Arabidopsis thaliana: one gene and its partner. The protein of the gene in region 2 interacts with the protein of the main gene of each other region in a pairwise test. Each region holds a gene or a part of one and is shown on either strand. Other genes may lie near its edges. The genes, in order: CNGC17 and MEKK3.

Evidence for each region.
Region 1: the proteins of MEKK3 (region 2) and CNGC17 interact in a protein complementation assay, tested with the Arabidopsis thaliana proteins (one large-scale study listed by BioGRID).

The regions. Positions count from the first base shown.
Region 1 is NC_003075.7:14,854,112-14,859,802, forward strand, and holds CNGC17 (cyclic nucleotide-gated channel 17), read right to left. Parts: upstream 3,909-5,691; 5' UTR 3,669-3,908; coding exon 3,640-3,668; intron 3,429-3,639; coding exon 2,672-3,428; intron 2,588-2,671; coding exon 2,289-2,587; intron 2,185-2,288; coding exon 2,073-2,184; intron 1,990-2,072; coding exon 1,753-1,989; intron 1,678-1,752; coding exon 949-1,677; 3' UTR 583-948; downstream 1-582. Other genes in the region: AT4G30370 (RING/U-box superfamily protein), read right to left, coding at 4,632-5,162. UniProt on the Arabidopsis thaliana protein: Probable cyclic nucleotide-gated ion channel. Forms a functional cation-translocating unit with AHAs that is activated by PSKR1/BAK1 and possibly other BAK1/RLK complexes. Required for PSK-induced protoplast expansion.
Region 2 is NC_003075.7:5,383,104-5,388,843, forward strand, and holds MEKK3 (MAPK/ERK kinase kinase 3), read right to left. Parts: upstream 4,158-5,740; 5' UTR 3,936-4,157; coding exon 3,469-3,935; intron 3,361-3,468; coding exon 3,106-3,360; intron 2,743-3,105; coding exon 2,497-2,742; intron 2,399-2,496; coding exon 2,314-2,398; intron 2,177-2,313; coding exon 2,114-2,176; intron 2,038-2,113; coding exon 1,880-2,037; intron 1,790-1,879; coding exon 1,717-1,789; intron 1,616-1,716; coding exon 1,556-1,615; coding exon of another isoform or gene 1,514-1,555; exon of another isoform or gene 1,319-1,513; coding exon 1,205-1,318; intron 1,089-1,204; coding exon 927-1,088; 3' UTR 749-926; downstream 1-748. Other genes in the region: MAPKKK9 (mitogen-activated protein kinase kinase kinase 9), read right to left, coding at 5,150-5,356, 5,471-5,584.

The DNA of each region.
Region 1 (5,691 bases), 9.5 Mb from region 2:
CTACACACTATAAGGTACAACTACTATGTCATCTCTTAATATATGCATGCATGTTTAAAAATTTCACATATTAATAAACGATTCAAAATATTAATATATGTTACTATAATTATGATTGTTGAAAACCATTGTTTTCATGATTCAGTTTCCGTTCAATCTAACTTCTTGTGCCATACTATATTGTTATTGTCATTCAAGACCATAAAATTTATTTGTATATTATATGGGACAAGAAATTTTCAGAAACTTTTCAATATGTTAGTTTAAAATATTTACAACTTTTTAAATCGACTAAGAATCCATGATTACATTGAGCTGGTCTTGTGGCCATATTGCAAAAAGAAAAATCCCAAATATGTATGTAATCCTGTAATGTAGATTATGATTTGATCCGACATATCTAGGTCAGTAGAGAAAGCAAGTAAACATTTTAACTTTTTCCCATGGACCAAAGTCCAAACTCATCATTAGTATGATCTTATGTCTATTGATTAAGTGAGTCTACCTTTCTTTAAAAAGAAGCTTGTGTCGATAGCAATATGCAACATGCTCAAGAAAATATATTTTTTCTTTCTTTACCATCTTATTCTCAACGTTACAGTAAGTCAGTAACCACGGCATATAGGGGCTTTGACGAATGGGCTTAGACATCTTTTTACTTCCTTGTTGGTTCAATCAATTTTGCAAGGTTTGATGTGATTTGTACATAATCCACTTCAACTTCCTCATCTTTACATTTAGAGAATTTAGAAACGAGTTCTTTAATAGTACAACAAAACTAATTCTCCAAGCTTATATTACAAAAGATGTTTAAGTGTACAAACCAAAACCCGCCTTGAGTTTCTTTCTTTATGTCTCCCAAAGGAACAGGAAACTTACTCTGTAGTGTTCTTGTCATTAAGATCTTCTATGGAACAAAGTCAGCTTCTTCTCCTGGTTATACATCAGTCAATCATCATGCTCAGCAGAGAAATCAGGCTCCTCGGGTTTCTTAAACCGGGGTAATTCTACATCCTTAACTCTCTGAGCTGCAACACCGCGTCTTGTATTAGCTGCAAAACGCGATGCCAAAACCATAACTCCAAGGTTCATCTTTGTTCTAGGACTCTCCTCAACACACTCTTCTTCTTCTACTACTACTAATTCTTCTCCTACTTCTCCTTCTTCATTTTCCATTGATTCAATCGCAGTGAGGTTATTCTCCATAACTCTTCTCTTGTACCTGCGCCAAGCCGCTTGTATGAAGCAAGCAGCCCAAGTTCTCCAATGGTGAGAGTAGAATCTGAATGTATGTTGAAGCTTCTTGCTGTGTAACCGCCTAAACTGATTTGCAACAAATTTCAAATCTTCAGCTCGAAGAGCGAATGCTTCGACTTCAACTAAAGCCCTAACTGTTCTTGTAGAAGATGGTAAATTCAAGGTTGATTTTGGAAGCAAAGCCCAAGAAAGAAGCTCTTCCCCACAGAAATCTCCAGGTCTAAGTATAATCGAGTTGAAGAAACCGGTTCTGCCTCCATTGGTTGTGGAACTCTCGAGTCTACCTCTGATGATGAAGAGCATCTCTGAGATCAAGTCACCTTCACGTACAAGGTAAGTCCCTTCAGTACACAGAGAAGAAACCAGGCGCTCACATATCGCATCAAGCAGCTGATCATCCATTTGAGAGAAAAATGGGACCTGCATGATTCAAGATAGTAGTTAACCTAAAAGTTGAACCATTTGTAGGATAAACAAATCAATAGAAAAACTTACTCTTCGAACAAGATCTAAACATAGGTGACGTTGAATATCACGGCGAAGATCAGTGGGTAAACTTTGCAGGAGAACCTCTTCATCGACTCCTCTTGTTGCAAGCCACTTATACTGCTCATATCGCCTCACACGGTTTCTCAACTCTTCAGGAAGTTGACGATGTCTCATCCACTCCTCAGTGTCTCTCTTCTTCAATCTCCATTCCTCAAGCCGTACAGTCAAAGATTGCAGATATGTCTAACAAACAAAAGGCAAAACCCAAGAAACATAAGAACAAAAGCAGATACTTTTAGAACTTATCCTAACGCAGGAATCCATACCTGCATATTCCCAATGAGATGGGCAAAGAGGACAAGACCAAAGATTGCAATGAGAACAGCAAATGTGGTTTCGCCCATGAACATGGTCGTGGACAAATTCTGTCCATAAGAACTAGAATATGACAATAACAGGAAAATGTCATCAGATTCTAAAACTTGTAATCAAAAGGAGAGTAATAATTGGTATCAAAAAATTTCTATGATCTCTGCCATTACCTAAGCTGCTGCAATCCCCACCACAAACAGTAGAAATATCTCTCGAAGAACTGTGAAGACACAACGTTTTTCGTGATTGCATTCCCAAAGATCCCATACTTGAACTCGCCATTCCGTGCATCACAGAGTTTAAACACTTTTGTGACATTTGCCCAAGTCATCTGATTATTGTCATACATTGAATCACAGTCTAAGTAATATAGCTGACAATTAACTTGGCCAGCTTCACCATTGCATCTTGATTTCCAGCACGATGTATATCTATCAACCGATAATATATACCAGGCTGCACCAAGCACCTGTCCCAACAAAAACATTGTAGCTTTGATTATCATCACATTTAAGGAATGAAATAATGGAAGAAGAAGGAATGGGATTCATACATGACTAGCCAGCATGTATAGCAAAAGATTATAAGCAGCTCCAGCCCAAGCAGTCTTTGTAACAACTCCAGTTGCTTTAACAATTTGAGAACTTAACGGAATTATCAAATAGAATCTTGGGATGTATTGGAGGAGCACAATCAAAGCAATAGCATTGTTGTTATGATCAAACCGGTAACTTTTTGTAGTCGATATAACAAACCAGATAACTATCTGTGGAAGTGGTAACGTCGCAATGAGATCGATGATGAAGTCAGATTTAATATACCTCCAAGCAATAGCCTTAGGATCCATCACAAGCTCACCTCTACCAAACACTCTAGTACTTGAATTAGGCGCAATGAAACCAGTCCTAAACTTAATGAAAATGTGCAGCAAGTAGAAAAGATCCGCTATTGTCCTGAAGAAAGTAACAAGGATGCTTAAACTTGTATCAGTCCTTGCACAAGGATAGTTTTTATCTCCTCCTATAGCTGGGACAAAGAAGTACAACGGGTCGATGAAGAGAGCAACCATACATGAGACAATGAAGACCCAATTCCATTTCAAGACAATCTCACTTCCTGGATCAAGAATAGTCTTGTACCATGAGACTTTAGAAGATTTGGACTTAGAAGCATCAGTGTATCTAAGTCTATTTCCAGGTAAGAGATTATCAGGTCTTAGTGCTGAAGGTAAAGAGAGCTTATAAGATTTGCTCATTGGATCATTCACTGCCCATTTAGCTTCTTTGCTTTCTTTCCCCTCTGAGTAAAACCTACAAAGCAATACACAACTCAAATCTGTAATCTGAAACCTAACTAGAGATTTAAGTTAAACCCAGTACCCAAAATCGGAGCTTGAGCTTGTAACATCTAAAGAAGAGATAAATCTAAAGCAAAGTCTAGAATTTTTAATTTCTGGGCAATCAAAGTTGAAGACTTTCAGGAACGTAAGTCTAACCGACGGATGAGAGAAAGAAAACTTACATAAGAAGCTTGTCCTTCCTTAACTCCATTAGAAGAAGCTCAAGCTCAAGCTCGAGTAAACAAATCTATGCAAATTAGAATTAACAGAAGCTTTTAAAAATCATTTCTTTGATTCGTGTCTCTGACACTCTCTCACTCTTACTCTCTCTAAATCTGAGAAAGATCGTGTTTTTGTTTAGTTCTTCCGGAGAGGATTGGAAGAGGAGAATCACTGAGTCACGGGACGAGTCAGAAATCGGAGGGATATTTGTTTTTTTTTCTTGGGAATACTTGAGCCATCGGTATAAGACAAGAAAGTCAACACATTTGACTAAAGTGACATTATTTCGTTAATCAAAGTCATTATTAGTTTACAATACAAAACACTAATTAGACAATGTTACTTGTTACTTCACAAAAACACTTCTTTAGTCTTATAGTCAGATCCAATCACAATCACTTTCTCCGTGTGAGTCACAATCTCACATTCCAATCAGAAAACGATTCTTTAGCCTCCTTTATTTTTATGTTCAATATAAACTTTTGAATCACACACTTGAAAACATAGTTGACATAACTTTGGAGGTGAAGTAGGTAAATTAAAATCACATGAACCAAGCTTTACTTAGAACTTATACTTCATCATGGACAAATTGAAACAGAAACATTGATGATTAACCACTGAATCTCAAGTGAAATTATGAGAAATCATTAAGGTAACATAAGCAACATGTTTAAAGTGACAAATGGACAACATTTCTATCAGTAATTGACTAGATTGAATTTAATAATTGGCATGATAATCAAACCTCAAACTAAGTTAAATTCTACAGAAACCCATCATTCTCTTATTGGATCAAATTCATCAAACGGTGAAGAAACAAGCTTTCAATTGTGAAGCCGTGTAAAAAAAAAAAAAAGACACTGTACATGACTATTGATGAAAACCAAAATTGCTGCTAAATATGATAACAAACTAAACACACTTTCAAATCTAATTATAAAACCACCGATCAAAAAATTTCACCTTGTGGTCTCCATCTTCTTCCTTCTTCAAATCTATAAACCCTATCCCTACAAATCGGACAAGTCGAGACTTTAATCAACCACAAGTCCACACACTTTCGGTGAAACACATGTCCACATCGAGGCAGCTTCCGACACCACTGTCCTTGTCTAAATCCATCGATACAAACAACACAATCATCGCCTCCGTACTCTGAACTAGGCTCACAATACTTGAATTGAGGAAGCCTCTTCACGCATCTTGGAGATAACCCATCTGAGTATTCGTGACGGCGATGGCGGCGGAGACGGTGGCGATAGTTTCGTTGAAGAAACCAGTAGAAAGCGAAGAAGAAGGTGAAACCGAGAGACGTGAGGATAAAGATAAAAGCGGTTATAGCTACAGGGATCATGATTAGACCTATGAGGAAGTTAGAGAGAATCTTCGTCGGTAGATTCTTCGTGTTCGCTTTTGGCGGCGGTGGAGACGGTGATGGCTCGCGGGAGATTGAGCCATCGTAGGGAATCGTTATCGACATCGACTTGCGGCGGAGATTAAAAATATTCTCTTTTACGAATCAAACTCTAATACTCTGTTTTAGGGCTAAATAAAGGAGAGATTTTTATGGATTTTGAAGATCGAAAATTTATCGGATTCAAAGTATATTGTACAAAAGAGTTTGTCTGATAGATATTTATATGCGGGAATATTCGGACATCTTTTTTATATCAGTTTTTGACGATAACTTTTTAACTAGTTTTGGCCCTTATGAGAGGAACTCGTGAGCAAAGTCTTTTTTTTTATATACCAAATTTTTCATTAAATTGATTAAATTTAACTAGAAAGAAGAAGATTAAGCGTATATAAACACAAATACACAGACACGTTTTAAAACAATGGGGTTCTGATAAATTATGTTACTAAATTTTGATCATACAGAATGTAGTTTGGCGTTACAAGAAAACTAGAGGAGAAAACAAAGGGCGAAACCAGACTTCATTTAAGGATAAAGTATTGGTGATGAGATTATATAAAATAGGGTTCAGTTTTGGGTTCCAATTATTATC
Region 2 (5,740 bases):
CAGGAAAACATTTGGCGGAAAAATTATTTTTCGAAAATTTTTGGCGGGAATATTTTTTTGAAATTTTTTTGCGGGAAATTTATCTTGAAATATTTGGGCGAAAAGTATTAATATTTCATTTTGTTAACCTAAAACAATTTTCAAATAGGGGTAAAATGGTCATTAAAAATTTAAAGAGGATAGAAATAAAAATGGATTAAAAAAAAAGGTAGAGTTGAAAAAGGGCATCATGAAAAGGGCATTAGAAAGAATTTTTCTTCATTACAACCGTAAACCGAAAAGATAGAAATGTAGTTAAAAAAAATTTGACTATCAAAAAAGAATCACGAAATATATTTAAACGAAAATATGCTATTAAAAGACAAAATCGTAAATATTTTAATAAAAAATTGCGATAAAAAGATGTAACTATTCATATGCGAAAAGAAACGACTGTAATTGAACAAAAAAACAGTAAAAAAATAACCATAATTATTTTAGCGAAAAGTTACGATAAAAAGATGTAGCTGTTTACAGTGCAAAAAGCATATATTCAGATTGTTAGTATTATTAGATAACGGTAATTAAATTACTATTTTTCGATTGACGTTAGAGAAGGTTTTTCTTCATTCTTACATTTGTTTCCAAAATGACGGATCTTTGGAAACGGTCCAAGTGATCCTCGTACTACTACAATGTAGATTTTGGAAAGGAACTATCTACATGTGTGTACTATTATCTATTATGGTCATACGTACATCTGTACGGTGTACGGAGTCGAAAACCTTTCGAATAAGTTTTATAAATCCATCATTGCGATAACTCTTCAACGGGAAACAAGTTGAATTATATAGACACTTCACACTTCAATTAACTTGGCTTTGACCAGAATCAAAGAAATGGTTTTCGCCATACTATTGCATAGTTTGATTGTTTCAGCGTAAGAATCAAAGATTTATAACAAATGGATGGTGCAGCAGTTCAGCTGCAGTTGGCCGCTCTTCCGGGTTCACTTTGAGACACGTAAGTATGAAATGCCGAGCGTCTAGTGATAAAGTATCAGGTACGTCTGGAAGCGTACCCCTTCCAATCTTAAACGCGGCTTGAATCTGCGCGTTTTCACAAATTCTGACCTTTAACTCATAAAATCCCATAAAGTAGACACTTCAAATGTCGTTTAAGATTACTAAGACAGTTCAAAAGTTTGAAAATCTTGAAGACTTACGGGTTTTAGATCGGAGTAGGGGATCTGACCAGTACACATTTCCAGCACAGTGCACCCAAGGCTCCATATATCAGCTGGACTTCCATTGCCATCACTATCCTTTCGGTTAATAACCTGATCAAATGGTTATGTTCTATTTAGAAATAACCATACAAGTATAGCCTCGAGTATAAACATACTAACAGTTACCAACTCACCATAAACAAAAATTTAACCAAATACCTTGAAGGAAACATAATCGGGTTTTTTTAAGGTTATCAATGCCGAGAACATTGCTATTGATGTATGATATGTTGTCTATCATTGTATTCACACAATCCAAAACAATGAGAAGGATCCCAACACAATTACCTCCGGAGCCATCCAAAATAATGTTCCCTTGCAAGACATAATGTCGTTGAACTTTGACGCCTATATAACAAAATGACACAGGTACCATGTCAGTGGGATAAGCGATGTACCATATTATTAATTAGTAATAAAACTACAAACATCTATTAATGGAAAAGAACCTCTGCCAATCCAAAATCTGCAAGTTTGACGGTGCCATTAGCGTCCACCAACATATTTGCACATTTAATGTCCCTTTGTCGCATCAGATGAGAAAAGTAAGTAACACATGAAAGAAATCAGATTTTTAAGAAATACTATGACAAGAGAGTTTACTAGTCAAACCTGTGAACAAAGCCTTTATCGTGGAGATAATTCAACCCAGCAAGAATTTGTCTTGTATACAAGGAGACTACTGTGTAGCTAAGTTGGTATCTTTCGTAGAGTTTTTGAACGGATCCTTGGGTTACAAGCTCAAGAAAGATGTACAATTTTGACACGTCCTGTAAACAGTGAAAGGAGTTACCAATTGCACAACAAAATGCAACTGAGAACAAGAAAGAGAGAACAAGACTACACCTTGGCTGTGCCACGATATCGCACAATATTCTGATGCTGAAGCTGACTAAGTAGTGCAATCTCCTGTAGAAAAATAAAAAATGAAAAATGTGGCAAATGTAAGGTCGATTAGCAACCTACTTTTGACCGATCAATGCAATAATGCTACAATGAAAGAAGTGATAAATGCTACGGATAACTGATGTATATGACTTTCATACCCCCTCAAGTTGTTGAATGCATTCTTGTGCCTGAATTCCCTTATCAAGAAGTGAAACTTCCTTGACAGCAAAGAAGTCCCCATCTCTACATTTAACATAAACCACCAGCCAAAAAAGCATATGTTGGCTCAACCAAGTATCTTACTTTAAGGTCAACAAACGTAAGCAACCAGTAAGACTTACTCTGAAATGGCTTCATACACAGAGGCATATGATCCTCGTCCTAGAAGTTGACCCTTCAGCCAAGACGTGATATCCTCAGGCTTACGAAAATTCTCAATCAACTTGTTACGCATCAATTTACGCTTTTCCTTAACACGTCCACTAGGACCTTCTTCGCTGAAATCCCTTTTTCGGAAACTGATGCGATCCGGGAACTCCATAGAAGGCGTCATCAAGGAACAAGTCGACTCGGAACCAACAGAGGAACTAGAAAAAGACATGATATAATGACGCTGAAGCTGACTAAGTAATGCAATCTCCCATAAAAAATGAAAGAGAAGACAATGAGATAATGCCACAATGGTAATGCAACCATAAAAGTCGCTTTGCACCGTATTTTTCAACTCATTAAACATCTTATTGTAAATAGGCATGTTGTTCTTTTCTTCCCAACTAAAGAGTGTATAATTTGATCTAAAGGATAACATAAACATCCATCAAAAAGCATCAACAAAACACACAAAGAAAAACTCTCGCACTGCATCACATTTCCCAATTTAAAGTTTATTTTCCTATAAACTAAGTATCTAATTTTAAGTTCAACAAACATAAGCAACCAGTAAGACTTACTCTGAAATGGCTTCATACACAGAGGCAAATGATTCTTCTCCTAGAAGTTGACCCTTCAGCCAAGATGTGACTGGTTCAATGTCCTCCGGATTGCAAAAATTTTCAATCAACTTGGCACGCGTCAATTTACGCTTTTCCCAAACGTGTCGACTAGGACCTTTTTCACTGAAATCCTTTTTCCGGAAACTGATGCGATCCGGGAACTCCAGAGAAGGCGTCATCAAGGAACAAGTCGACTCGGAACCAACGGAGGAACTAGAAGAAGACATGATATTATGATGCTGAAGCTGACTAAGTAGTGCAATCTCCCATAGAAAATAAAAGATATAGCAATGAGATAATGCTACAGATATTAGCACTTACCCTGAACTGCCTTCATACACAAAACCTAATGATACTCGTCCCAGAAATTTCCTCTTCAGCCAAGAAGGGACGATAGAACCTCTAGAGGCATAACTCGGCGAAATAATGGATACTGTACTGGAGGAGTCAGCCTCGTTTGTAGCGAATGGGCATGCCTCATGAGCCGTATCCCCCAACTGGACAAACATACCTCGCGTCTCTTCCGTTTCAACTTCCTCTTTATCAGAGGTATTATCAGAAGAGGAGGAACTCTGCCGCTTAACTGTTTTACTTGGAGCAAAATACGTAAGGAAATCCCACGATGATCCTGGAAAGTCAATAAGAGGTAGTTTTCTTCCCGGAGGGGGCTGAATTATTGGTGGTCTTACCGCTTTAATACCACCATCAACATCCACAACATCATTAGGGATAAGATACTCTCTGGATTGCACCAAAATATCACCGGCGAAGATAGCAGTTACGTCCATTGTAGTCTGTAGACGACGTCAAAGAGATAGAGAGAATAAATACACAAGTGGAAATATCCAAACAACTGGCAGTAACACTGCACCTGTTAGAGAAAAAGGAAGAAGCAAACAAAAGAAGTTGACGACGACTTATGACAAGAGTTGAATTTTCAATCTAGTAATAGTATCTGAATAATAATTGAATACTGAATTTTAAAAATTGTTGCAGATTCTTGTATTATTTTTGTGGGAGACTTGGTTAAGTCCACAGATAAAATATTTAGCATCAATTTAGGATTTTTCTCCGTGTCTTCATCACTTGATTAAAAATTCATAGGTATACAAAGAAATCTAAAAGCATTTCTTAAAGGAACTTTGCCCTTAAAGAAACTCATCGATGGCAAAAAAGTTTTCAACGGGGCAAATATTGTAAGAAACAAGTTGAATCATATATACACTTCAATGAGAGTGGCTTTCACCAAAATTTCAAAGAAAATGTTGGTTTGACCATACTTTTTTAATTGAAACAGCAGATTTCTTCAGCGTAAAATAATTAAGAGATGAATATAGGTTATGTTTTTGCACCCAAAAGAAAAGTTTAGTTTTGTTAAATTATAGTGTATGTATGCATGTATAATTCAGATATATATATAAGAAAAATTGGAGATTAAATCCATCGAGACATGAGATGTGTAAACAGTTGCAACAAGCAGGAACTATATAAGAGCCAACTATAATTACACATTACATGATATGGGTTACATGCATACACTATATAATTTATCAAAACCAAACAAGCCTATACACCCGAAACTCTAAATCAACTAAGGTTCTTCTTATACATTACATGATACTATAATTTAACAAAACTAAACAAACCTATGCACCCAAAACTCTAATTTAACCAAGGCTCTTCAGTTTTAAATATAAGCTCAACACACACAAGTGACACAACTTACAACAACCAACCAATGAATGAGACAGAAACTACCTGAAGATATGTCTCGAGAAAGTTTAGCTCTTGCTGCGCAACCAAAACAGCATATGTATCAAAGAATCATATCTCGTGTCTCCCCTAAAGTTTCTATGGGGTCTAATATCTCATAAACCTTCTGGTTACCCCTGCTCTCATACATTAAGATATCAATGTTAGAATATAGCGTTTGATCCTAATATATTCTCAATAAAACGAAACTAGAGGCTTCACCTATGGAGGCAATCTAATAAAATTAGATTCATCTACGGATTAGCGGAGATGTTGATCCTGAGCCTGAGGATGGTAAGGGCCTTCTCACAAATGGATGGTTCAGTAGCTCAGTTGCAGTTGGACGCTCTTCCGGGTTCAATTTGAGACACTTAAGTATGAAATGCCGAGCGTCTAGTGATAAAGTATCAGGTACTTCCGGAAGCGTACCCCTTCTGATCCTAAACAGGGCTTCAACCTGCGCGTTTGCACAAATTCTGACCTTTAACTCATAAAATCCCATTAAGTAGACCCTTCAATGTCGTTTAAGATTATAAGACAGTTCAAAAGTTTGAAAATCCTGAAGACTTACGGGTTCTAGATCAGAGTATGGGATCTGACCAGTACACATTTCCAGCACAGTGCACCCGAGGCTCCATATATCAGCTGGACTTCTGTAACCATCATTATCCTTCCGGTTAATAACCTGATCAAATTATTATGTTCCATTTAGGAAAAACTGTAACATATAACCTGATCAAGTATAGCCTAAACTACAATGAAAGTGGAAGGAATTCAAATATATCTGTTACGTATAATTACACAAACATACTTACAGTTATAAACAGAAATAAAGGAAATT